7 linked regions of the Macaca fascicularis genome follow. The protein of the gene in region 7 purifies or fractionates together with the protein of the main gene of each other region. This does not show direct contact. Links are inferred from orthologs where the notes say so. Each region holds a gene or a part of one and is shown on either strand. Other genes may lie near its edges. The genes, in order: NUP133, NUP85, NUP43, NUP98, NUP160, NUP107 and SPAST.

The links.
Region 1: the proteins of SPAST (region 7) and NUP133 purify together in Homo sapiens (affinity purification with mass spectrometry; 3 studies listed by BioGRID and IntAct, counting the BioPlex papers as one, with this or other methods). This does not show direct contact. The link is inferred for Macaca fascicularis from reciprocal best matches to the Homo sapiens genes SPAST and NUP133.
Region 2: the proteins of SPAST (region 7) and NUP85 purify together in Homo sapiens (affinity purification with mass spectrometry; 3 studies listed by BioGRID and IntAct, counting the BioPlex papers as one, with this or other methods). This does not show direct contact. The link is inferred for Macaca fascicularis from reciprocal best matches to the Homo sapiens genes SPAST and NUP85.
Region 3: the proteins of SPAST (region 7) and NUP43 purify together in Homo sapiens (affinity purification with mass spectrometry; 3 studies listed by BioGRID and IntAct, counting the BioPlex papers as one, with this or other methods). This does not show direct contact. The link is inferred for Macaca fascicularis from reciprocal best matches to the Homo sapiens genes SPAST and NUP43.
Region 4: the proteins of SPAST (region 7) and NUP98 purify together in Homo sapiens (affinity purification with mass spectrometry; 3 studies listed by BioGRID and IntAct, counting the BioPlex papers as one, with this or other methods). This does not show direct contact. The link is inferred for Macaca fascicularis from reciprocal best matches to the Homo sapiens genes SPAST and NUP98.
Region 5: the proteins of SPAST (region 7) and NUP160 purify together in Homo sapiens (affinity purification with mass spectrometry; 3 studies listed by BioGRID and IntAct, with this or other methods). This does not show direct contact. The link is inferred for Macaca fascicularis from reciprocal best matches to the Homo sapiens genes SPAST and NUP160.
Region 6: the proteins of SPAST (region 7) and NUP107 purify together in Homo sapiens (affinity purification with mass spectrometry; 3 studies listed by BioGRID and IntAct, counting the BioPlex papers as one, with this or other methods). This does not show direct contact. The link is inferred for Macaca fascicularis from reciprocal best matches to the Homo sapiens genes SPAST and NUP107.

Annotation. Positions count from the first base shown.
Region 1 is NC_088375.1:19,615,425-19,618,924, reverse strand, and holds part of NUP133 (nuclear pore complex protein Nup133), read right to left. Parts: intron 2,071-3,500; coding exon 1,923-2,070; intron 1-1,922. UniProt on the Homo sapiens protein: Involved in poly(A)+ RNA transport. Involved in nephrogenesis.
Region 2 is NC_088390.1:81,592,508-81,596,487, reverse strand, and holds the start of NUP85 (nuclear pore complex protein Nup85), read right to left. Parts: upstream 2,801-3,980; 5' UTR 2,725-2,800; coding exon 2,692-2,724; intron 69-2,691; coding exon 1-68. UniProt on the Homo sapiens protein: Essential component of the nuclear pore complex (NPC) that seems to be required for NPC assembly and maintenance. As part of the NPC Nup107-160 subcomplex plays a role in RNA export and in tethering NUP96/Nup98 and NUP153 to the nucleus.
Region 3 is NC_088378.1:57,733,078-57,737,071, forward strand, and holds the start of NUP43 (nucleoporin Nup43), read right to left. Parts: upstream 2,801-3,994; 5' UTR 2,767-2,800; coding exon 2,647-2,766; intron 2,331-2,646; coding exon 2,208-2,330; intron 1-2,207. UniProt on the Homo sapiens protein: Component of the Nup107-160 subcomplex of the nuclear pore complex (NPC). The Nup107-160 subcomplex is required for the assembly of a functional NPC.
Region 4 is NC_088388.1:70,551,403-70,554,902, forward strand, and holds part of NUP98 (nuclear pore complex protein Nup98-Nup96), read left to right. Parts: coding exon 1-62; intron 63-1,223; coding exon 1,224-1,362; intron 1,363-3,500. UniProt on the Homo sapiens protein: Plays a role in the nuclear pore complex (NPC) assembly and/or maintenance. NUP98 and NUP96 are involved in the bidirectional transport across the NPC. May anchor NUP153 and TPR to the NPC.
Region 5 is NC_088388.1:17,983,713-17,987,662, forward strand, and holds the start of NUP160 (nuclear pore complex protein Nup160), read left to right. Parts: upstream 1-1,150; 5' UTR 1,151-1,279; coding exon 1,280-1,481; intron 1,482-1,740; coding exon 1,741-1,852; intron 1,853-3,950. UniProt on the Homo sapiens protein: Functions as a component of the nuclear pore complex (NPC). Involved in poly(A)+ RNA transport.
Region 6 is NC_088385.1:75,497,793-75,501,292, forward strand, and holds part of NUP107 (nuclear pore complex protein Nup107), read left to right. Parts: intron 1-239; coding exon 240-365; intron 366-761; coding exon 762-875; intron 876-3,500. UniProt on the Homo sapiens protein: Plays a role in the nuclear pore complex (NPC) assembly and/or maintenance. Required for the assembly of peripheral proteins into the NPC. May anchor NUP62 to the NPC. Involved in nephrogenesis.
Region 7 is NC_088387.1:90,032,394-90,035,893, reverse strand, and holds part of SPAST (spastin), read left to right. Parts: intron 1-1,823; coding exon 1,824-1,866; intron 1,867-3,247; coding exon 3,248-3,327; intron 3,328-3,500. UniProt on the Homo sapiens protein: ATP-dependent microtubule severing protein that specifically recognizes and cuts microtubules that are polyglutamylated.

The sequences.
Region 1 (3,500 bases), on a different chromosome or scaffold from region 7:
AGTAGAGACAGGGTTTCACCATGTTGGCCAGGCTGGTCTCGAACCCCTGACCTCAGGTGATCCACCCACCTCAGCCTCCCAAAGTGATGGGATTACAGGCATGAGACACCACACCTGGCCTAATTTGTTAATGTCCAAAATTAACAAATTTTGAAAACATTTCCATGATGATGACTATAACTAGAAGCCTATGACAAATTCAAGGGAGAAAATGAAAGCACTAATTCATTGTATTAAGAACTGGCAATTTTTTATAAATGATCCCTGATAAACAAACATTTTGGTTCTTACCTTACTGGCAAGATATTAATGACAAGAAAACTTAGTTGATTTGTTTACATATAAAATCAGAGGCAGAAATAAAAATAAATCTCATTAAATAAAATTAGAATATGCTAAAAATAAGCTGTTATTAAAGAACTAATTTTATAGAAACATTAAATGTGAGGTCCTAGAATTGTTTTTTAATCCTCAAATTCTCTTTATAGTCTTCTGCCCTGGCTGAATTTTTTTCTAACATTGAGCATGTTTTCCACACTGCATAATCAGAACACACAATAAAGTTTATTTCTGTTTGACATAAAAGAACAAATCAAAAGATTTTCTTACAGGATTCAATTAAACAAGTCATGTTAAGAGTAAGGATTAAAAAAAAAAAAAAAAAAAAAGTGAAGATTTAAGCCAGGAACGGTGGTGCAGACCTGTAATCCCAGCTACCTGAGAGGACTGCTTGAGCCCAGGAGTTGGAGGCTACCATGCACTATTGACGGACCTGTGAATATCACTGCACTCCAGTCCAAGCAACATAGCAAGACTTTCCCTCTTCAAAAATAAACAAACAAGGATTTAACAGAATCAGATACCATGTAAGAGTAAATAAAATAAATTTATAGATGTTCAGCTTTTTCTTCATGAATATCTGTTATTAAACATGTTTAATTGCTATTAATGAATTTAAAATTAGAAAGGCCGTCTTTCAGTTGTTTAAAAGAACTTTGATGACTATGTAACACTGCTGAATACAAACATAATCTTGCTTTGGGTAAAAAGGGGGATTTTTCTATGATATGCAAAGCTCTAAACCAAACCCTAAATCCTACCAGCTTTCTTCTTTTCTTTTTCTTCTTGTTTTAGGATGGGGTCTCACTATATTGCCTAAGCTGGAATGCAGTGGTTATTCACAGGTGTGAACACGGCACACAACAGCCTCAAACCCCTGGGCTCAAGTGATCTTCCTGCCTCAGCCTTTTGAGTAGCTGGGACTACAGGCATGTACTCATCATGCCCAGCGTGGTTTCTTCCTTACTTTCACCCTGAAATTAATTAATACCTTCTTTCTACTTAAATACAGAGATGACAATCCCTCCAAAGACCTAGAGCAGAATAAACAAACTGCTTTCTGCTAGTTGCTTCCATTCTAATTTTCCTTTAGCCAAAACTAAGCAAAAGAACAAGCCTGAGATGGCAAAGAAAATGCAACAATGTCTAGAAACAAGCTATTTTAAAATATTGCCAAGCCCTGCAGATGAAATCTGTCAAGAAATTTGACCCTGAAATGGGCCGTGCATCGTGGCTCACGCCTGTAATCCCAACACTTTGGGAGGCCAAGTTGGGGGAATCACTTGAGATCAGGAGTTCGAGACCAGTCTGGCCAACATGGTGAAACCTTGTCTCTACTAAAACTATAAAAATTAGCTGGGCATAGTGGCACACGCCTACAGTCCCAGCTACTCGGGAGGCTGAGGCAGGAGAACCACTTGAACCTGGAAGGGGAGGCAGAGGTTGCAGTGAGCAGAGATCAAGGCACTGCACTCCAGCCTGGGTGACAGAGCAAAACTGTAAATAAACAAATAAGACCCTGAAATAGTTAGAAAACTATTCAACATATTATTGCTTTGTAATTTAACCAACATAAATCTTACCTGAAAAGGTGGATTATATTGAGTGACTTCTACAGTAACTGCATCTGACATTTGGCAACCATTATCTTCTATTGTTATCAGAGAGTAATAGATGAGACACGGATTGTCTGCTGAGTGCCATGCTGCTGCCAGAATCACCAGCCCATCACTAATCAATAAGAAATAAAGATGTAAAGCCTCCCTAAAAAACAACTTAGGAGTTTCCTATAAAATTAAACATATGCTTCCAATAACCTAGCAATCCCATTCGTGGATACCTATACAAGAGAAAATTAAAAAACAAAAACAAAAAACCAATAACTATGTTCACATGAAAACCTGTGTACCAATGACTGTAGTGGCTTTATTCATAATTGCCTAAAACTGAAAACAACCCAGTGTCTTCCAACTGCTGAACAGCCAAACAAACGGTGGTATCTCCATACAAAAGAATACTATTCAGTAGTTAAAAAAAAAAAAAAAAAAAACCAAATGAATTTGAAATATATTATGCTAAGTGACAGAAGCCAGACTCAAAAAGCTTTAAACTGTATGTTCCATTTCTGTGGCATTAAGCAAAAGGCAAAACTATAGAGACAGAAACCACATCAGTGGTCTCCAGGGGCTAAGGGTGGATGGAGGGGTCGATGACAGAATGGCACAAGGGAATCTGGGGGGTTATACAACTGTTCTGTATTGATTGTTGTGATTAAATGACTAAACTATGTATCTGTCAAAATTTGTAGAATTAGGGCCGGGTGCAGTGGCTCACGTCTATAATCCCAGCACTTTGGGAGGCCAAAGTGGGCAGATAACCTGAGCTCAGGAATTTAAGACCAGCCTGGCCAATGTGGCAAAGCCGTCTCTACAAAAATTAGCCAGGCATGGTGGCACATGCCTGTCGTCCCAGCTATTTGGGAGGCTGAGGCAGGAGAACTGCTTGAACCCGGGAGGCGGAGGTTGCAGTGAGCTGAGATCACACCACTGCACTCCAGTCTAGGTGATAGAGTAACACTCCATCTTAAAAAAAAAAAGAAGAAAAAAAATTTGTAGAATTATACACTAAAGAGGGTAAATTTTTTACTCTATATAAATTATAGCTCAATAAACCGGACTTTAAAAAAAAGATCAAAACAACTATCTGATCCAGAGATTAGCAAAGTACAGCCCTCCAGTGAAACTGATCTCAAACCAGTTTTTATAAACGAAGTTTTGTTGGAAGGCAACCATACACATTCATTTATGCATTTTCTAGGGATGTTTCATGATACTATTGGTGAAATAGAGTACCTGCAGTAAAGACTATATGGCCACCAAAGCCTAAAACAGTTACTTTTGGCCCTTTACAGAAAAGGTTTGCCAATCCCTGATGTACTCAGTTATTTAAAGGTTACTCGCTTTTGTCCAGAGGAAAAACATTAAAAAAAAAAATTTTACCACCAGGCGCGATGGCTCACACCTGTAATCCCAACACTTTGGGAGGCTGAGATAGGAGGATCATTTGAGCCCAAGAGTTCAAGACCAGCCTGGGCAACACGGTGAGACCATGTATCTCTAAAATAAATTTAAAAGGCCAGGTGTTGTGGTTCACACCTGTAA
Region 2 (3,980 bases), on a different chromosome or scaffold from region 7:
ACTAGCATCTCCCCTGGACCCCAGTCAAAACACATTTGGTTCTTCTTGGAATTCACACCTGGAATCACCTAGTAAAATAAGACATAGAAATCTAAAATGAAGAATGTTCTTCTTACTGAAGTCGTTCTATTCTTTTTTTTTTTTTTTTTTTTTTTGAGACAACGACTCACTCTGTCTCCCAGCCTGGTGTACAGTGGCACAATCTCAGCTCACTCCAATCTCCGCCTCCTGGGTTCAAGGTCTTCTACTGCCTCAACCTCCTGAGTAGCTGGGACTATAGATGTGTGCAACCGTACCCGGCTTTTTTTTTTTTTTTTCATTTTTAGTAGAAACGGAGTTTCACCATATTGCCCAGGCTGGTTACAAACTCCCGAGCTCAGGTGATCCACCCGCCTCAGCCTCCCAAAGTGCTAGGACTACAGGCGTGAGCCACCGTGCCCGCCTGGCTGAAAAACACTTTCCACCATGCCAGCCTGGCTGAAAAACACTTTAAGTGAAGAGCACAGCTGGTCCTGTAATAACATTGTATCCTTCAATAACATTTTCTTATAACACTAGTAAGAAAAATTCATTTTGTGCTGGGCACAGTGGCTCCCACCTGTAATCCCAGCACTTTGGGAGGCTGAGGCGGGCAGATCATCTGAGGTCAGGAGTTCGAACTCTTTTTTTTTTTTTTTTTTTTTTTTTGAGACGGAGTCTCGCTCTGTCGCCCAGGCTGGAGTGCAGTGGCCAGATCTCAGCTCACTGCAAGCTCCGCCTCCCGGGTTCCCGCCATTCTCCTGCCTCAGCCTCCCGAGTAGCTGGGACCACAGGCGCCGCCACCTCGCCCGGCTAATTTTTTGTGTTTTTAGTAGAGACGGGGTTTCACCGTGTTAGCCAGGATGGTCTCGATCTCCTGACCTTGTGATCCGCCCGTCTTGGCCTCCCAAAGTGCTGGGATTACAGGCTTGAGCCACCGCGCCCGGCCAGGAGTTCGAACTCTTGTTGCCCAGGCTGGAGTGCAGTGACGCGATCTCACGATCTCCGCTCACTGCAACCTCTGCCTCCTGTGTTCAAGCGATTCTCCTGCCTCAGCTTCTTGAGTAGGTGGGATTACAGGCATGCGCCACCACGCTAGGTTAATTTTTGTACTTTTTTTAGTAGAGACGGGGTTTCGCCATGTTGGCCAGGCTGGCCTCGAACTCCTAGCCAGGTGTGGTGGCTCACGCCTGTAATCCCAACACTTTGGGAGGCTGAGGTAGGCGGATCACGAGGTCAGGAGTTCAAGACCAGCCTGACCAAGATGGTGAAACCCCATCTCTACCAAAAATATAAAAATTAGCTGGGTGTGGTGGCACGCACCTGTAATCTCAGCTACTCAGGAGGGTGAGGTAGAAGAATCGCTTGAACCTGGGAGCCAGAGGTTGCAGTGAGCTGAGATGGCGCCACTGCACTCCACCCTTGGTGACAAAGTGAGACTCCGTCTCAAAAAAAGAAAGAGGCCAGCCGCAGTGGCTCACACTTGTAATCCCAGCACTTTGGGAGGCCGAGGTGGGCAAATCACGAGGTCAGGAGATCCAGACCATCCTGGCTAACACGGTGAAATCCCGTCTCTACTAAAAATACAAAACAAAATTAGCCGGGCGTGGTGGTGGGCGCCTGTAGTCCCAACTACTGGGGGAGGCTGAGGCAGGAGAATGGTGTGAACCCAGGAGGCCGAGCTTGCAGTGAGCCCAGAGGGGCGCCACTGCACTCCAGCCTGGGCAACAGAGCGAGATTCCGTCTCAGAAAAAAAAAAAAAAAGAAATGAAACCATCCCTCTACCTACCCTGAGATAAATGCATACATAAATTTTTCCTCTACTCCCTCTTTTCACAGGTAAAATGCAGATTTACTGAGGCTAATCAGAGACTCACAAGAATGTAACCATTTGCCTCCTCACTGCCTAACCTCCCTTTTTTGCCCCTCCTGCTAGTTCCTTCCTCTTTAACTACTGATGTTCCCAAAACCATCTCTGGAAAAAGCACAAGTCTCAGATCCTCCTGGGACCTGTGTTTTTTCCCGGTTGGATCCTCAACCTTAGCTAAATAAACCTTTATCGGTTGAGACCTGCCTCAGTCAGCGGTTAACAAGAGAAAGAGGGAAAACAAAAGCATTCCAAGTAGCAGAAACGGTAGGTATGTCGCACATAAAGTCCATGAATTTTTTTTATACACATCACAGATCATCCACAGTTGACATACTCTCTTCAAAGTTCAAATGGAATTGAATGCACAGCGATAAAATATGAATAGTCTCCTGAGATAATACGTTTAATAAACCTTAGGTCACACAAGCAGAAACTCAACGTGCCGCGATGCAGAGCTTAATATGGCTGGAAGAAAAACATAAATTCCTCTGCTTGGGCTGAACCCACTCTAATACCCAAGAGGAAATGCGAGGGAAGTAGAAAGGTCAGCAAGACAAAAGAAGGAAAGGGACGGACTGGGACCTTCGAGGCCTGGCTTTGTGACTGGTGGCAGAAACCCCGCGACCACTACGACCCGAGGTCGGGCACCTAGTTAACACTGCGACCTCCGGAAAGTGGCAACTGAATCAAGGGAAGGGGACGAGAGCCTCGCGGCCAGTAGGGAAGCAGACAAGCCTGAAGTAACGAAGCAGACGCAGTTCTCAACCCACAAGGGCGATCAAGCCTGTTCGGGGTGCCCTTACAGTGACTGCTGGCTCGCCATCGAGCTCCTCCATAGCGCCGAACCCCAGGCTCTGGGAAGTCGCCGGGACGTCAATGCTTCCGGCTCAGGCCTCCCGCTCAGAGCTGCCTGAGAGACAGGACCCCGCCTGGGCGCCTCCTGCAGCGCCTGCAAGCCCAAACCTTCAGTGCTGCGGCGCTCTCTTCCCTCAGCCACGGCCACCCCTCTGCGGTCCTCTGCGCGCGTCCTTCCTTCCTGGCGTCGACAGCAAGTCAGGGAAAACAGCGCCGAGGACGGACTGCACTCACAGTACCGCGCTAACGGGATCAGGCGGCGCCGCGGACACCCTGGTGCCGAGCGGAGAGAAGGCCCCCGGAGAGGGCGGGCGGGGCAGGAGGAACCCTTGGCCAGAGACGGTGCGACTGCGCGTGCGTAGGCTGGGGCGGCGGCACCTGGGTGGGAACTTGTGCCGGACTGAGGTCCCAGTAAACCTGCAAGCTTTCCCAACTCTGGGAGTCCTCGCTCCATCCTTATCTCCACCTTAGTGTCGTAGCAGCCACTTGTCCAAACCCAAACAGTCAAATGGGCTTGTGCTGGAAAGCAGTCGCCGTCACTCCCACACTAGAACACACACAAGAGGCACGGGAGGCCGGGCGCGGTGGCTCACGCCTGTAATCCCAGCACTTTGGAAGGCTGAGGCGGGCGGATCACAAGGTCAGGAGATCGAGACCATGGTGAAACCCCGTCTCTACTAAAAATATAAAAAATTAGCCGGGCGCAGTGGCGGGCGCCTGTAGTCCCAGCTACTCGGGAGGCTGAGGCCGGAGAATGGCGTGAACCCGGGAGGCGGAGCTTGCAGTGAGCCGAGATTGTGCCACTGCACTCCAGCCTGGGCGACAGAGCGAGACTCCGTCTCAAAAAAAAAAAAAAAAAAAAAGAGGCACGGGGACAAAATCGATGCTCCTGAAGGATTAGAGGCTTCTCAAGCCTCTAATCCCAGCACTTCGGCAGCCCGAGATGGGCGGATCACTGGAGGTCAGGTGTTCAAGACCAGCCTGGCCAATATGATGAAACCTCGTCACTACTAAAAATATTTTAAAAATTAGCCGGGCTTGGGCAGGGTGCGGTGCCTCACGCCTGTAATCCCCAAACTTTGGGAAGCCGAGGCGGGTGGATCACAAGTTCAGGAGTTCGAGACCAGCGTGGCCAATATGGGGAAACCCCCATCTCTACTAAACATACAAAATTTAGGCCGGGCGCGGTGGCTCACGCCTGTAATCCCAGCACTTTGGGAGGTCGAGGTGGGTGGAT
Region 3 (3,994 bases), on a different chromosome or scaffold from region 7:
TTCTGCTTGTTAAAGACTCAGAAATACTAGCAGGGAGGAAATCTATTCATTTATTTAACTCAATTAGTAGCAAATGATAACAATTTTAAAAAGCAAAGAGCCTATGAGTGCTAAGCAAATAACATGTGTTAATGGAGCTGAAAGTCCAAACTGCCATACAAAGCATTTTCATGAATAAACAGTATTTTTTTCCTAGACACATTTACCCGCCATTGATTTAATTTGAGACCAACACAATAAAACGTTAGAAAAATACCATTCCTGGCTGGGTGCGGTGGCTCACGCCTGTAATCCCAGCACTTTGAGAGGCCTAGGCGGACAGATCGCTTGAGTTCAGGAGTTCAAGACCACCCTGGGCAATGTGGCGAGACCTCGTCTCTACGAAAATACAAAAATGAGTCGGGGTTGTGGGGAAGCGGAGCTTGCAGCGAGCCAAGATCGAGCCCCTGCATTCCGGCCTGGTTGACAGAGCAAGACTCAGTTTCAAAAACAGAATAAAAATTTTTAAAAAGAAAAGCCAGGCGCGGTGGCTCATGCCTGTAATCCCAGCACTTTGGGAGGCTGAAGCAGGCAGATCACGAGGCCAGGAGTTTGAGACCAGCCTGGCCAATATGTTGAAACCCCGTCTCTACTAAAAACACAAAAATTAGCTGGGCGTGGTGGCAGGTGCCTGTACTCCCAGCTACTCAGCAGGCTGAGGCAGAAGAATCGCTTGAACCCAGAAGGCAGGGTTGCAGTGAGCCGAGATAGTGCCACTGCACCACTCCAGCTTGGGCGACAGAGCAAGACTCCATCTCAAAAAAAAAAAAAAAGAAAAAAAGAAAGGAAAAATATTGTCCTGGCATGGTGGCTCACGCCTGTAATCCTAGCACTTCAGGAGGCCAAGCCGGGTGAACCACGAGGTCAGGAGTTCAAGACCAGCCTGGCCAACATAGTGAAACCCCATCTCTACTAAAAACACAAAAATTAGCCAGGCATGGAGGCATATGCCTGTTGTCCCAGTTACTCAACGCTGAGGCAGAAGAACTGCATGAACCCAGGAGGCAGAGGTTGCAGTGAGCTGAGATCGTGCCACTGCACTCCAGCTCAGGTGACAGTGTGAGACTCCGTCTCAAAAAAAAAAAAAAAAAAAGATCTTTCCTAGGGCTAGATAGCTTTCTTCTCTTTCTTCTCTCTGTCTCTTTTTCTTTCTTTTTTTTTTTTGGGACAGTGTTTCGCTCTTGTTGCCCAGACTGGCGTGCACTCAGCTTACTGTAACCTCTGCGCCCAGGTTCAAGCAATTCTCCTGCCTCAGCTTCCCGAGTAGCTAGGATTACAGGCGTACACCAGGGCTAGGTAGCTTTCTATAGAATAAAATGCAGGGGCTCTCCACACCAGGATTTGAAAACTTAATTTCGGCCAGGCACAGTGGCTCACTCCTGCAATCCCAGCACTTTGGGAGGCCGAGATCAGGAGTTCAAGACCATCCTGGTTAATATGGTGAAACCCCGTCTCTACTAAAAATACAAACAATTAGCCGGGTGTGGTGGCCTGTGCCTGTAGTCCCAGCTACCTGGGAGGCTGAGGCAGGAGAATCGCTTGAATCCGGGAAGTGGAGGCTGTAGTGAGCCGAGATCATGCCACTGTACTCCAGCCGGGGAGACAGAGTGAGACTTCACCTCAAAAAAAAAAAAAAAGAAAAAAAGAAAGCTCAATTTCATCCCCACCACTCACTACTGGTTTTGAGACTTTGGCCAAGTTAAGTTCACTAAATCGTGGTAAATCTTTAAAACGGGAGCACTAATCTCTGCTTAGGGAGTTGTCATGAGAATTCAAAAAACAAAATGATGTTAATCCCCCTGCACAGTATCTGTCACATAGTACATGCTTAAGATATGTTAGTCTCAATTTTCTCATTAGTAAAACAAAGTAACAATACTTGATATACCGGCAACCAATAATAATTAATTTTTGTAAAGCTCCCCAAACGGTACTTAGCACATAGTCGACGGTCAATAAATAAAAAAGTATGATTAAATCTACATCCCCTTTCCCAGTCCTTTTTCTGCCACTAAATGGCTAAATGATGTCGGCCAAATCATAACTTACAGAGCACTCAGTTTTTTGTAAATGAGGGGTGATACAAGACAACCTTTATGATGCTCTGCTTGTTTAAATGTATTACTCAGGACTTTCAAAGTTAGCTTTTGGATGCTACACAGATTTACCTGTAAATCCATGACATCACCATGGTGTCTGATATCACACAATAATTGATGGTCTCCTTCAAACCCTCCATCAGAGTCCAAGTTTCCAAAATCTCCAATAGACCACAGTGAAACATAATTTTCCTGTAAAACAAAGAGTTTTGTCTTGAGATGACATAAACGTCAACTATCGGAAAATAAAAGTTGCGCTTCCGTCCAGAAAGCTTGCTCCAAAACATCTCAGACAAATAGTATGGTGAGTTTAAAACGTAACGAGATATGAGGCTCAGGCACACCATCACGGGTTCTGAGCTATGGCGCAACCGCGCCTGAGACAGGGTCCGAGGGACCTAGAAGTGCGAGAAAAACCAGAAGGTGGGAGTTGGCGCGCGCGCGGCCAGGGGTCAGCTCAACCGGAGGGAGGGAAGAGGCAGGGGCTCGTCCCTATCAGCAGGGATACCTCATTGTCCCAAGATCCGGTAGCAAACGTCTCCGCGGTTTGCAAACTTCCGGGAGGCAGCGGTCGCCAGCGGGTTTTGCTGATTTTCTGAGACACAAACTTCGCATAAATTTCCTCCATGCCGAAAGCAGCCGCAGCAGGCACTGCAAAAAGCAAGCACAACGCGCGCCTCTCAGCCCCGCCTCTTCCCGCGGAACCCTGATTGGATGGGACTTTAGGAGGGAGACGGTGGCTGCAGAGAGTCAATTCTCTTCGGTAGCCAGTGTGGGCACGGTCAGTATACAAACTGGGAGAACCTAGACCGAGAGGCCCATCTCCTAGAGCGACTCTGAGCAAAGGCAAGAGCGCTTTGGCCTTTGAGCAGTAGGACTTGCTCCTAATCTAAAATATCAGTATTTTCTTGTGTTCAATAATTGTGCAGTGTAAAATTTAAGAGCAAAAATAGAACAAAATCAATACAGTAGAAACCACCTTGAAACCACACCTAAGCAGTTGCAGGTCACTGCGCATAGAAAACAATTCAAAAATCCTTAAATACTCATGGAAGTACCTCGAATACAGTGCCAACCTACTATCCTAAACCTCTCCCTCTTGTCCCCCAAACAAATACTTTGCTTGAAAGTTAATACACACTGTCAGAGCCTGGAGTTAGAATTCTGAAAGACTCCAGTTTTAGTTTTGATGCCAATTGCCTAGCTTTGGTCAATTTAATTATGTGCATGATTAAGAATGAGGTTTGTGATATCTATTGTCAATAGCCCAGGAATCAGTTTTCTAGGTTCCTTCTGTGCTTTTGGTTACACCTATAATATTCTTCCCTTCCTCTTTACTCCTCAGAATCCTGCCTATCCTTCAAGGATCTGTTCTTTCCTTAACCATTTCCTGATGCCCCCAGCCAATGTTGATCTAAATCAACATCGCTTTTTTTCTTTTTGAAGACAGGGTCTCACTCTGTGGCCCAGGTTGAAGTGCAGTGGCACAATCTCAGCTCACTGCAACCTCCGCCTCCCAGATTAAAGTGATTCTCTCACCTCAGCTTCCAGGGTAGCTGGGACTACAGGTGCGTGTCACCATGCCTGGCTATTTTTTTTTTTTTTTGGTAGAGACGGGATTTTACCATATTGGCCAGGCTGGTCTCGAACTCCTGACCTCAGGTGATCCGCCTGCCTTGTCCTCCCAAAGTGCTGGGATTACAGGCGTGAGCTTGCATTTGATATCTAGGCCACTATTACATATATTTTGGATATATTCTATCGTTAGTTTTCTTAAGATGCATATTCCTCCCTAATTAGAATGTAAATCCGGCCGGGCGCGGTGGCTCAAGCCTGTAATCCCAGCATTTTGGGAG
Region 4 (3,500 bases), on a different chromosome or scaffold from region 7:
TGCTAAAATTACCAATGAAAAAGGAGAGTGCATTGTCTCTGACTTCACTATTGGTCGGAAAGGTAAGTGTGAGTTTAGCATTTAGTGATTAAGCCAGAGAGTTGCACCTTATTTTTGTAATTAGGGGAAGCTTTTGGTAGCTGAATCTGTGTTTTCCTACATTTGGGCCCACCTTGGCCTGAATCTTAGATACTTTGATTGATAAGTAATAAAACAACAAAGACTGGAACCATGTAAAAAAATTTTTTTTTTTTTTTTTCTGTTGAGATGGGTTCTTGCTACATTACCTGGCAGATCTCAACTGCTGGGCTCAAGCATTTCTCCTGCCTCAGCCTCCTGAGAAGCACAGAGCCATATAATATTCTTTGGGCTTAGATATACCTGTTTGGTGCTAGTAACTATTTGGGTCATTTTAATCTTCTGTAATTAAAGAAAATACTGGAAATACCAAGAACTACTGAGAAAATTGAATAGTAGGCAAGAGATGTGTAACACTTAGCATCAACTTCATGTTATTAAGTTATTACTGATAATTTTCTTAGGGAAATGTCGTAGGAAATGTCACTGTGCTATATTGTATTAAAAAGAGCTCAGGCATTTTAAGCCATATGCCAGGTCAAGTACAAAGGTTTGTTTATGTAACAGCATTGTAGATAGATGGGAAGAGATTTAAGAAGGTTGTTTTGAGGCTAATGGAAGTTTTATAAAAATGCAGATGTTAGGCCTGTCGCAGTGACTCACGCCTGTAATCCTAGCGCTTTGGGAGGCTGAGGTAAGACGATCACTTGAGCTCAGAAGTTCCAGACCAGCCTGGGCAACATAGTGAGACCTCACCTTTACCAAAAAGTAAAGAAAATTAGCCAGGCATGGTGATAAGTACTTGTAGTCTCAGCTACTTAGGAGGCTGAGGTGGGAGGATTGCTTTAGTTTAGGAGGTTCAGGCTGCAGTGAGCCAGGACCACTGCACTCCAGTCTGGTCAACAGAACAAGACCTCGCCAAAAAAAGAAAAAAGAAAAGAGAAATACAGATGTTAAATCAGGTAACAACATAATTGAAGTTACTCCCTAAGTCCCCATTCTTACCAGTCTAGGAATTGCTGGATGATTTAAAATACTAATATTTAAAACTGTCTTCTCCTTGTGATTGTTTAATCACTATAGTTGTAAAGTAGGTATTTGCCTTTATACAGAATGAATTTTTAACTATTTGCTCTGATTTATAGGTTATGGTTCAATCTATTTCGAAGGAGATGTGAATTTGACAAATCTAAATTTGGATGATATTGTGCATATCCGAAGGAAAGAAGTAATTGTCTACTTAGATGATAACCAAAAACCGCCTGTGGGTGAAGGGCTAAATAGGTAAGAGTTTATGTATATCAGAAAATTATCAGCTAAATCATAGTTTTTTTTTCTGTCAACATAAATGTGTTTAGATGTATGCTTCTGTAGCTTGCTTTCCTTAGTAGAGTACATATATTGTCTCTGACTTAAAAGTATAAATGGCAAAGAAATGCTGTGTTATGATTTTGAACTCCTTTTCCCTGATTTTATTTTTTTAATTTTTTTTTTTACATCCCTTGGATTCTATTTTATTTTATTTTATTTCATTTCTTTTTTTTTTTTGAGACAGAGTTTCGCTCTTGTTGCCCAGACTGTAGTATAGCAGAATAACATCAGTTTACTGCAACCTCCAACTCCTGGGTTCAAGCGATTCTCCTACCTCAGCCTCCCAAGTAGCTGGGATTGTAGGCGCCCACTACCATGCCTGGCTAATTTTTGTATTTTCAGTAGAGACAGGGTTTCACCATGTTGGCCAGGCTGGTCTTGAGCTCCTGACCTCAAGTGATCCTCCCACCTCGGCCTCCCAAAGTGCTGGGATTACAGGTGTGAGCCACTGTGCCCAGCCTCCCTGATTTTATTGGGTCCAACTGCTAATTTCAAAAACTCTTTTTAATAGTGTTTTGCTTTATTCCTGTTTCTGCTGTGGCTATACTTAACTCTCTATTTTAGTGTGAGAGCCTAGCTTCTAATATAATATCTCTTTAGTCAAGTGAAAGGTCTGTAGTTAAAAATCATTTATCTTTATAACCTACCAACCCTGAATCAGGAAGAGATAGAAAATCTGAGCAGATCGATCGATCCTTTGCTTTGCTTTACTTTGCTCTACCGTGCTGTGCTCTGCTTTGCTTTCCTTTTTTGTTTTCCTTTTCCTTTCCCCTCCTTTCCCTTTCCTCTTCCCCTTCCCCTTCTTTTCTTTTCCCTTTCTCCTCTTTCTTTCTTTTCTTTCTTTCTTCTTTCGAGACAGGGTTTCACTCTTTTGCCCAAGCTGGAGTGCAGTCTTAGCTCACTGCAACCTCTGCCTCCTGGGTTCAAGTGATTTCCTGCCTCAGCCTCCAGAGTGGCTAGGATTATAGGTGCCCGCCACCATGTGCAGCTAATATTTGTATTTTTAGTAGAAACAGGGTTTCACCATGTTGCCCAGGCTCGTCTCAAACTCCTGACCTCAGGTGATCCACCCACTTCGCCTCCTGAATAGCTGTGACCACAGGGATGCACCACCATGCCCGGCTAATTTTTGTATTTTTTGTAGAGATGAGGTTTTGCCATGTTGCCTGCCCGGGCCGGTCTCAGACTCCTGAGCTGAAGTTTTTGGCCTGCCTTGGCCTCCCAAATTGTTGGGATTATAGGTGTAAGCCACCTTGCCCACCCTTAAATGATTTTCAGTAAGGTATAAAAATTACTTGGGGGTAGAGTGTGGTGTGGGGCACACATAAAAAAAACAAAAAGAAAAATATTTGATCGGGAGAAGACAATCTCTGTAACAGAGGATGCTGGAAAACTGGATATCCACATACAAAAGAGTGAAGTTACATCATATACAAAGATTAACCCAAAATGGATAAAATACCTAAGTATAGGATCCAAAAATGTACAACTCTCAAAAGAAAACACAGAGGAAAAGCTTCATAACATTGGTTTTGGCAATGATTTCTCAGATACAACATCAAAAAGTGTAAGCAACAAAAGCAAAAATAGACAAATGATACTCTATCAAACGAAACCTTCTGCACAGCAAAAGACAAGTGAAAAGGCAACCTATAAGAATAGGAGAAAATATATGCCAGTCATATTTGATAAGAAGTTAATAGCCAGAATGTAAAGAATCCTGCGATTCATGGCCGGGCGCGGTGGCTCAAGCCTGTAATCCCAGCACTTTGGGAGGCCGAGACGGGCGGATCACGAGGTCGGGAGATCGAGACCATCCTGGTTAACACGGTGAAACCCCGTCTCTACTAAAAAAATACAAAAAACTAGCCGGGCGAGGTGGCGGGCGCCTGTAGTCCCAGCTACTTGGGAGGCTGAGGCAGGAGAATGGCGTGAACCCGGGAGGCGGAGCTTGCAGTGAGCTGAGATCCAGCCACTGCACTCCAGCCTGGGTGACAGAGCAAGACTCCGTCTCAAAAAAAAAAAAAAAAAAGAATCCTGCGATTCAACAG
Region 5 (3,950 bases), on a different chromosome or scaffold from region 7:
GGCTAATTTTTTGTATCTCACTGTTTCACCATGTTGGCCAGGCGGGTCTGGAACTCCTTACCTCGTGATCTGCCCACCTCGGCCTCCCAGAGTGCTAGGATTACAGGCGTGAGCCACTGCGCCCGGCTAATTTTTCTGTTTTTCGTAGAGGCCGGGTTTCACCATGTTGGCCAGGCTGGTCTTGAACTCCTGACCTCAAGTGATCCTCAAGTCTTGGACTCCCAAAGTGCTGGGATTACAGGCGTGAGCCACCACACCCGACCTTGGTGTATAGTTTTCTTCAGGCACGTTCAGCTACAGATTTGAATGTAATCGAAGTTGTTTTTACTGATGAAGAGTTAGGCAATGAAGTAATTTAATGGTATTCAGGATAAGGAAGAAACACCAAAGAAGTGAGGGACAGTGAAGAGCTTGTATAACAATGGATTTCAGGTAGAATGAGGGGGCTGCACTGCCAAAGTTGGTGTCCCAGAGGGAGTGAAGTGGAAAGATAGGAAATGATGGTCGGAACCAGATAAATGAAACGGAGAATGACAGGGAATGGCTGTGGTCACTGGTAATAGAAGTGACCAACAAGCGTTGGCTATCACTAAGGAACAAAACCTTCCCTGCTGGAGATTAGCATTTTCCCCGATTTTGAACATCTACCCCCACAATATCTTCTAAACATCCACTATGGGCCCTTATTGCATTGACAGCCAAGTGCAAGATCACGGTTGGAATGAATGGCAAATTCTTTTCACGTATCCAAGTGAGTAGCACTCAGGTAACCTCAGCAGGTGGCAGCATCAAGGTTTACCACATTACGTTTCATTATACAGGAATACACGAATACAGTCTCTTGGGGGGAAAAAAGACCAAAACCAAAGGCCCTTCCCTCACTACCCCTTCCTCACCCCGCCAACCCAAGTGCCACTGAAGAGCGAAGGGAGGATCGGCAAAGATTTACAGACGGACACCCTAACCGAGGGAGAGGTGACCAAACACCCGGGATCCGGCAGAGGACGCCCAAAGGCCGGACCTCCCCGGACCTCGCCCCTCCTGGGAGACTGAGCCCCGCGTTTTGGAAACAGAAACAAACCCGGTCCCGCCCCCTGCCCTGCGGCCGCTGAGAAAAGGGCACCGCCCTCCGGAGGCGTTCCAGCCGGCCACTCGAAGATTCCAGCAGATACAGTCGGCCTCCCCTGCCCGCTTCTCTTCTGGATTCCCCGCTGCCCATCCTCATTCTCCCGGTGGAAGCCCCGCAACGAAGGACCGGAGCCCCCTTTCTGCTCCCGGGATGCTTCACCCGTCCGCAGCTCCGCCCGCCCCGCCCCCGGAAGTGACGGCGGCCGCGCGGCCCTGCCTTTGTCCCGTCGGGCATCGCGGCGACGGCGGGAAGATGGCGGCGGCGGGATCCCTGGAACGAAGCTTCGTGGAGCTAAGCGGGGCTGAGCGCGAAAGGCCGAGGCACTTTCGGGAATTCACAGTCTGCAGCATTGGTACGGAAGTGGCCAGGGAGGGCGCGATCCGATCTGTCCCCTCGGGCTCCTCTCATGGGTCCTAGGGTCTCTGACTGCTGGGTTCATCCTCCTGAGTCCACATGCCTCCAGCCCCGGGATCAGAGATTCCTTGATGTCCGACGTTTTCCTCTTTTCTTTGTATGGGTTGTCAGTCTGTCACCCTCTGCTTTATCAGGTCCCTTAGTCCCTGTCATTTCTCAGAAGACGCGTGTGCAGGCTGACCACGTTCATTTTGCAGGGACCGCAAATGCCGTGGCTGGCGCCGTAAAATACAGTGAGAGCGCGGGAGGCTTTTACTATGTGGAGAGTGGCAAGTTGTTCTCCGTAACCAGAAACAGGTTCATTCATTGGTAAGTGCTGTGGTTCGCCAAACTCCCCTGGAAGGTAGGGTTTGGTGTGTAAATTTTAGTTGCTGTTCCCAAAGTGCTATTCTAGAAGCGGTAATCGACACTTAGGGAAAGAGAAAGTTTTTTTTTTTCAGTTCGTATCAGAGTCGGGAAAACTGAGACACAGTTCTAGAAGAGTTTACCCTCCCCCCCCACCAATACACACACACACACCAAGCAACACCAAAAGCAGAGGGAATGTAGCTTAGGGGTATAAAGCCCATAAGACTAGTTTTAAACATGAACCCATTATGTTTTTATAGTGCTTTACAGCTTCCTTCATTGAACAAATATGTTCGAGCTTCAATATGTCAGGCATTGTGCTAGGTACCAGGACGAAATGAACAAAACTGCCATCTTCATCATGCAAGACGTTGTAGCAATGTCAGAATAGTTGTGGACTCACTTTTCATGGGGAAATTTTGTGGAGGAAAACTTGCCCTAGAGGAAAAATACAGGGGTTACGAGAGGCTAATGAGAGGACCAAATGTTATTAGTGGGGCAGGAAAAGGCTTTCACAGTTACCCTGAGGTCTAAAGGACACGAGGTTAGCCAGGTATGGGGAGTGGACAGAGAGGAGTCCAGCAAGCAGGATCACCATATGCAAAGGTCACAAAGTGGAAAGAATGTGGCAGGTTTGGAACTGACCAAAGATCTGTGTGGCTTAAGTGCAGTGGGTAAAACAGAAAGTAATGTGAGATACTGAGGCTGGAGAGGTAGGCAGGACTCGGACCATGAGGGACCCTTAGGCCATTTTTAAGGATTTTTGGATTTTATCCTAAGTACATTGAGTAATAATGGAATAGGTTTTTAAAGAGTTACTAACATCAAAATTGCATTTTTGGATGGGAACAGTTAACACTGGGGATTCCAAAAGGAGCGGGGGAGCAGAGGTTGGAAAACCTATCAGTTACTGTGTTCACAACTTGGGCGGCAGGATCATTAGAAGCCCAAACCTCATGTAGATAGGAATATATACACAATATACTCATGTAACAAAGCTGCACATGTACCCCTGAATCTAAATTTTTTAAAATGTATTTTTAGAAGATCTCAGTCTACTTTGTGGAAAGTGGATTTGGATTAGATGGGTATAATGCAAAAAAAAGTTTGCTTTTATGATGGCCCAAGTAAGGGTTGCTGGTGGTTCAATTGTGGGAATGAATAGAAATAGAAAAGTAGATGGATTCAAGATACCTTTGGAAGATAGATTCACTAGGACTTGGTGGTGGATTGAATATGGGGTAAGGGATGGTAAAAGAAAAGGAGAGAACAAGGACAGCTCCCTGGTGTCTCATGTGACTAACCAGATGTGAGTGGGGAGGGGTTGCCATTTACAGAGATCCATAGAAGATGGATTTTGGAAAGATATGAATAATTCTGTTGGACATAGTAAATTTGAAGTACCTGGGGAGCAGCCCTTTGGAAATGTCAAGTAGGCATTGAAATTTACAGGTCTAAGGCTCAAAAGAGAGACTTTATGTTAGAGATACAAATTTCATTTAGTTAAATATTTTGGCTGGGCACAGTGGCTCACACCTGTAATCCCAGCACTTTGGGGGGCTGAGGTGGGAGGATCTCTTGAGGCCAGGAGTTCAAGACCCCATTTCTACAATTTTTTTTCTTTTTTCTTTCTGTTTTTTTTTCTTTTCTTTTTGAGAGACAGTCTGGTGGCTCCATTGTCCAGGCTGGAGTGCAGTGGTGCAATCATGGCTCACTGCAGTCTCCGCCTCCTGGGTTCAAGTGACCCTCCCACCTCAGCCTCCCAAGTAGCTGCAATTACAGGTATGCGCCACCATGCCCAGCTGATTTTTCTATTTGTTTTTGTAGAGATGGGGTTTTGCCTGGTTGCCCAGGCTGGTCTTGGACTGCCGAACTCAAGCAGTGCCCCATTCTCGGCCTCCCAACTTGCTGGGATTACAGGCGGAGCCACCATGGCCGGCCTGATTTTTAAAAATTAGCCAGGCGGGGTGGCATGTGCCTTTCATCTTAACCACTCAGGAGGCTGAGGCGGGAGGATCTGATCATGCCACTGCACTCCAGCTTGGGAAACAGGGTAAGA
Region 6 (3,500 bases), on a different chromosome or scaffold from region 7:
CAGGGTGCTGATATTGGAGAAGATGCCAGAAAACACAATATATATACCTTGTTTGTCACTTGACAAAACATTTATTCATGATATGAATTTTTGGAGGCAAAAAATATATATATTTAACAGTTTTTATTTCTTGATGCTGCAAAATTATTTCTAAGAATCAAATGTTAAAAATTTTGGTGAAACGATAAAAGTGAAAACTTTTGTTATTTTATATTTTGGTTCTTTATTTTACATTTTAGGAAGCCCATGAAACCTTTAATGAGTGGTTTAAGCATATGAATTCAGTTCCACAAAAACCTACTTTGATACCTCAACCAACTTTTACTGAGAAAGTGGCTCATGAACACAAAGAAAGGAAATATGAAGTAAGTTAAATATGGATCTGGGATGTGCCTATTGCATCTTATAAATGTATGTTGTATATTTAAATAGATCATTTCTTCAGCACTATCTTTCTATCATAACAGGTAATCTTCCTGTTAATGTCCTGCTTTGGGAGACACAATCTGTTTAGTTACTGTTCTGTAGGTAATTAACCAAACATGAAAAATGCCTTCAGGTGACATGAACATTCATTTACAAAGTTAACATTTTAGCATTTTATTTAACTGCAGTCTGTTGATACTTATTTTTGTATTTGGCAGACTGAAACGTCAACTCTTTAGAATGATGTTCTATATGTATGTTTCTGTCTGTACTTTACAAATACATTATTTATTGGGTTTTATACATTATATGTCTGCCTTGTGTTTGTTTTGCAGATGGATTTTGGTATTTGGAAAGGGCATTTGGATGCCCTAACTGCTGATGTGAAGGAGAAAATGTATAACGTCTTGTTGTTTGTTGATGGAGGGTGGATGGTGGATGTTAGAGAGGTAAGCTGTGTGCATTGTTTATAGCCAAAAACCGAAACAGTCACCATGTTTTTTTAAAAATGTTCTGTCTCTAAATGGAAGCATCTACAGATGTTACATAATTGTAGATATAGCTAAATCCCATATTTTAAGCTAAACTGAAAATACTAGCTAGGGAATGGGAATATTTGATTCTTGGATAAAGTGTTAGTTCACATTTACTGTGTTCACACAGGATACAAAAATCTAATTTTTAAAAATTCTGGAGCTAAAAATTTAATTATACATGTATGTGACTCCATTTACAGATATAAAGATAACTCGAGTAGTATCAGTAAGGCATAGCTAAGGTAGGGGCTCTCACCTCTGGGCTGTCCATTTTAATGACCTGGCAAACTTTTAAAAAATACTACAGGGTTCTACTCCCAGAGATTCTGGTGTAATTGGTCTGAGGTAGGGCAGGGGTTTGTTTTTGTTTTTTTAATCACCTGGAGTGCTTTAATGTAATATATAGCCTGTGTTGAGAACCAGTTACAGAAGTATTAAGTGCCATAAGAAAGGCACAAGTTAAGTATTTTCTGAGTACCAGAAAAGAAAAGATTGTTTCCACCTGAAAGGGAACTGGAAAGTATGCTTGAAATGTATAACATTTAACTGAATCTTGAACATACTGGTAGAATTTGGATGAGCTGAGATGGGGAAAGGAAGGATACTGAGATAATAGTCATAGAAGGGAAAGACATTGCAGCCTGACCCTGGTGCATGACAGAAACAATGAGTAGCTTAGTTTATCCTTTGTAGACCTGATGAGCTGTCTGAGAACTGGAAATGCTGGCTTCTTGGATATTCGATGTATTATTTTGAACAAAGAAAATGATAGGAGTGTTCTTGATATCTTTCCTTTTGCTATTCTTCATACTCTCATCTATTTAATACTTTTTCTTTAATTTTAGCTGCTGCTTTTTTTTTTTTTTTTTTTAGCCTCTCTGACCAGAAGGAAAAAGAATAGAGGCGGGACAGTGAACTAAATTTGAGCCCCTATTTGCCACTATTACTGAGGGAGTAATTATCTCAAATGTCTCCACTTTATTTTTTTGTTGTTGTTTTAGAGACAACATCTTGCTCTGCCACCCAGGCTGGAGGACAGTGGCTTGATCATAGCTCACTGCAGCCTCAAACCTTTGGGCTCAAGCAGTCCTTCTGCATCAGTCTCCCCAGTAGCTAGGACAACAGGCACACGCCATCATGCCTGACTGGTTTTTTTTTTTTTTTTTTTTGAGACTGTATCTTGCTGTGTTGCCCAAGCTGGTCTTGAATTCCTAGCCTCAAGCTGTCCTCCCTCCTTGGCCTCCCAAAGTGCTGGGATTACAGGCATGAGTCACTGTGTCTCCACCTTTTTTTTTTTTTTTTTTGAGAAAGAGTTTTGCTCTTGTCGCCCAGGCTGGAGTGCAATGGCACAACCTTGGCTCACTGCAACCTCTGCCTCCCAGATTCTCTTGCCTCAGCCTCCCAAGTACCTGGGATTACAGGCATCTGCCACCATGCCCAGCTAATTTTTGTATTTTTAGTAGAGATGGGATCTCACCATGTTGGCCAGGCTGGTCTTGAACTCCTGACCTCAGGTGACCCACCTTCCTTGGCCTCCCAAAGTGCCTGGGATTACAGGTGTGCGCCACTGTGCCCAGCCGAGTCTCCACTTTTTATCCTAACGTTCATAATAGAACTCCCTTGACTTGTTTTAAACCTTCCACAGGTTCCTCTGGCAAAACCTTTCTCATCTGATTCATGCTGATTCTTTTGAAGATAAAATTTTAATGTTGTAAAATGCTAATTAAGTGTCACTTAAATTTTGAAAAGACTTCAATGCTTTACTTATATATAAATCTTTGCTATTCTAATTATTAATTAAGTAGATTAGGTAGTGAAAGCCACAAAATAGTCTGGGGTCTCGTAAAATTGGAGTTGAGGTCAAGCGTGGTGGCTCACGCCTGTATTCCGAGCACTTTGAGAGGCTGAGGCGGGTGGATCACCTGAGGTCAGGAGCTTCAGACCAGCCTGGACAACATGGCAAAACCCCATTTCTACTAAAAATACAAAAAAAATAGCCCAGTATGTTGATGCATGCCTGTAGTCCCAGCCACTGGGGAGGCTGAGGCAGGAGAATGGCCTGAACCCAGGAGGCAGAGGTTGCAGTGAGCCGAGATCGTGCCACTGCACTTCAGCCTAGGTGACAGAGTGAGACACTGTCTCAGAAAAAAAAAAAGGAGTTGAGATGGAAGGCAATGAATGATATGCCATTTTGTTTCATCAGGGATTTAAAAATCAATATTCAGTCTCAATTATTTCTTTAAAACTAATCCAGAAAAGAGGTTTGTTGAACAGTTAAATGATTAATAACATTTTAATCACCTTTGTTGAGCCTAATACTCCTATATGGTCGATGACGTAGGGCACTGTTCAAGGCTCCTGCTAACACATGTCACTTGTATGTGAATTAGAAAATTGTAATTCTAGCCGGGAGCGGTGGCTCATGCCTGTAATCCCAGCACTTTGGGAGGCCAAGGAGGGTGGGTCACATGAGGCCAGGAATTCGAGGCCAGCCTGACCAATATGGTGAAACCCCGTTTCTACTAAAAATACAAAAAA
Region 7 (3,500 bases):
AATTTTCTTCTTAATCCTTTTAAACTCTTAGGTCTTTTTGCAATTTTCTTGTTAATCCTTTTAAACTCTTAGGTCTTTTTGTTTTGTTCTGTTTTCCCAAGCCTGTTGCCTTTATTTCTTACTGGGTTAGTATCTAATCTCCTTTGTGCTGTATCTTTTCTAACTCTTCTTTCCTTGGTGGTTTTTTATTCATTACTTTCCTGACCTCTGTTATTCTACTTTTCATCTTCTGTTTTATTTCTTTGAGCATCTATACGTTATTTCCGTAAGCTCTTACATTTCACTGGGCTCTTGTTTCATAGAAAACAATTTTTTGGGGAGGGTGGATCACTTGAGGCCAGGAGTTCGAGACCAGCCTGGCCAACATAGCACAACACTGTCTCTGCTAAAAATATAAAACATTAGCTGGGTGTGGTTACACACACCTGTAATCTCAGCTACTCAGGAGGCTAAGAATCGCTTGAACCCGGGAGGCAGAGGTTGCAGTGAGCCAAGACTGGGGCACTTTACTCCAGCCTGGGGGACAGAGCAAGGCTCTGTCTCAAAAAAAAAAAAAAAAAAAAGAAAACGGTTCTTTGGTTGGGCATCATGGTGGGTCACACCTGGAATCCCAGCACTTCGGGAGGCCAGATCACTTGAGGCCAGGAATTCCAGACCAGCCTCACCAACATGGCAAAACTCCATATCTATAAAAAAAACTTAAGGATAAAAAAATAAAAATTCTTTTAAAATTATTTTATTTCATGGAAAGATATTTGGTCATAATTTTAATTTGCTCTATGGCAAAATCTTCTCATGCATGTTCTTCATTTTATCTAGTTTATGTTTGTTGTGTTTTGTTTGCTCTTTTTGGGGGCAGGTTTTTTTTTTGTTTGTTTAATGAGCTCTGTCCTGGTTTTTTCTTTTTGCTTATTATTTTTCTTTGAATAAAAGAGTTTTCTTGGAAAACCTAGTTTTGGAAGGATATTGTAGGGGAAGGGATAGGTATCTTGAGTAGTCCATGTATACTCTAAACTAACATGCAGCCTCCCTCACTTACAGTGAAGCCCTACCTAATAATGAAGTATATGTGTGTGTAAATAAGAGATAGGGTTGATTTATTCTTCTACTAAAAAATATTGGTCACTGCAAGACATTGCCTTCCCACCAGACTGTTAGATGCCTTCTTATAAAGATAATTCGTCTTAGAGTTTCTTTGTTCAGTCTCACCTTCCTTGCCATTCCTATGCTATCAGTTAGGGTTTACATGGTCTGCAGAGCCAGGCCTATATGCTTGTTTAAATGTGGAGGGATTGGCTTTATTATAACCCTTTAGGGTGTGCTATCTCTTTTGGGGAGGAAAACTGTATTCTGACAGTCATGTCCATGATCTTCAGCAGCAGATCCTTTGTGTGTCTTCCTTTGTCAGTGTAATTTTCACTGCCCTAGGCAGTTCACCTTTATGTATTTTAGTTCCGCAAATATTACCTAGTTTGTTGATGAAGTGTACGTTTCTGTTTCTATTATCCTTGCTGATTTTAGTTTTTTTCAGATTCAAGAAGATAGGAGATCTACTTATATCAGATATTTTGTTTGTTTTAAAGCATTACTGCTATTAAAAACATATACATACATAAATGATTAATTCTAACAATACCAAATTAAGGATTTTTAAACATTAACTAGAGTTTTAAAAGAGTAACAAAAATATTTTTGCATTGATAACTACCAAAATGCATTCCAATGCCTTGAATATTATATTTTAAAAGCTTTTTCCTGTCATTTGCTGCTTCAGCTTTAAATTCAAAATTATATTTCTAAAAGTGCTGGGTTTTTTTTTTTAGGCGTTTCATCAAACGGGTATATGTGTCTTTACCAAATGAGGAGGTATGTATCTGTGTTTGAATTTTTTTTTGTTTTAAAGCAGAAACAAGAACTGCCATCTTGACAATATTAAGTCTTCCAATCCATGGTACAGCTAGTTTGGAAAACAGTTTAGTGGTTTCTTAAAAAGATATACATAAGCTTACTGTCAGACCCAGCAATTTCACTCCTAGGAATTTACCCAAGAGAAACAAAAATGTATGTCTACACAAAGACTTGTACAAGAATTTTTATAGCAGCAGTATCAATAATAGCCAGCACTACAAATGATCTAAAATGTTCCTTTTGGTGAATAAACAAATGTGGTATATTCATTTAATGGATACTGTTATCCATCATACATGCTGCATACTCACTTCATATATTAAGTTTTATGAATGAAACTCCAAAACATTGTAAATGAAAGAAGCAAGATGATATATGTCGCATATCATATGATTCTGTTTATATGCAGAAAAGGTAAATTTATTTATTTATTTTTATTTATTTATTTTTTTTGAGACAGAGTCTTGCTCTGTTGTTTAGGCTGGAGTGCAGTGGCGTGATCTTGGCTCACTGCAGCCTTCACCTCCCGGGTTCAAGTGATTCTCCTGCCTCAGCCTCCTGAGTAGCTGGGACTACAGGCATGTGCCTGGCTAATTTTTTGTATTTTTAGTAGAGATGGGTTTCACTGTGTTAGCCAGGATGGTCTTGATCTCCTGACCTTGTGATCCGCCTGCCTCAGCCTCCCAAAGTGCTGGGATTACAGGCGTGAGTCACCGCGCCCGGCCAGAAAGTGCAAATTTCTAGAAACATAAAGCAGATCAGTGGGTTGTCAGGGTGAGAGTTGGGAATGAGGATTAACTGCAAACAGGTATGAGTGAACTAAAAAGTGTTCTAAAACTGGATTGTGGTGATGATTAAACAATTATATAAATGTATTAAAACTAATTGAATTATACACTTAAAATGGGTGAAATTCATAGTAGATGAATTCATACCTCTGTAAAACTGGTTTTTTTTTTGCAGCAGAATATTTATTGCTATGTTTTTATCCAGGTGTGGTGGCTCACGCCCATAATGCCAGCATTTTGGGAGGTTGAGGTGAGAGGATCGCTTGAGCCAGGAATTCAAGACCAGCCTGGGTGGCATAGGGAGACCCTGTCTCTACAAATACTTTTTTAGAAATTAACCGGGCATGGTGGCACGTGCCTTTGATCCCACTTACTCGGGAGACTGAGATGGGAGGATTGCTCAAACCCAGGATGTTGAGGCTATAGTGAGCTATGATTGTGCCCTGCATTGCAGCCTGGGTAACAGAACAAGACCCTATCTCAAAATAAAAAAAGAATCATTAATTCTGATATTAAATTAGACTGAATGATCATTTTTTAATATTTTGCAGACAAGACTACTTTTGCTTAAAAATCTGTTATGTAAACAAGGAAGTCCATTGACCCAAAAAGAACTAGCACAACTTGCTAGGTGAGTAATTTGGATTTGGTTTATCTCACAGCTTTTATTTATTTTTTTGTAAATAATTATTTTTTTAGTTATTTAAAGTAATCTTAAGTATGAAATGAGTAATTCATTTACAGAAGACTTTTTGTCTCATCCTCTACCTCCTTTGCCTTTTTCTTACGTCTTATTCTTATATA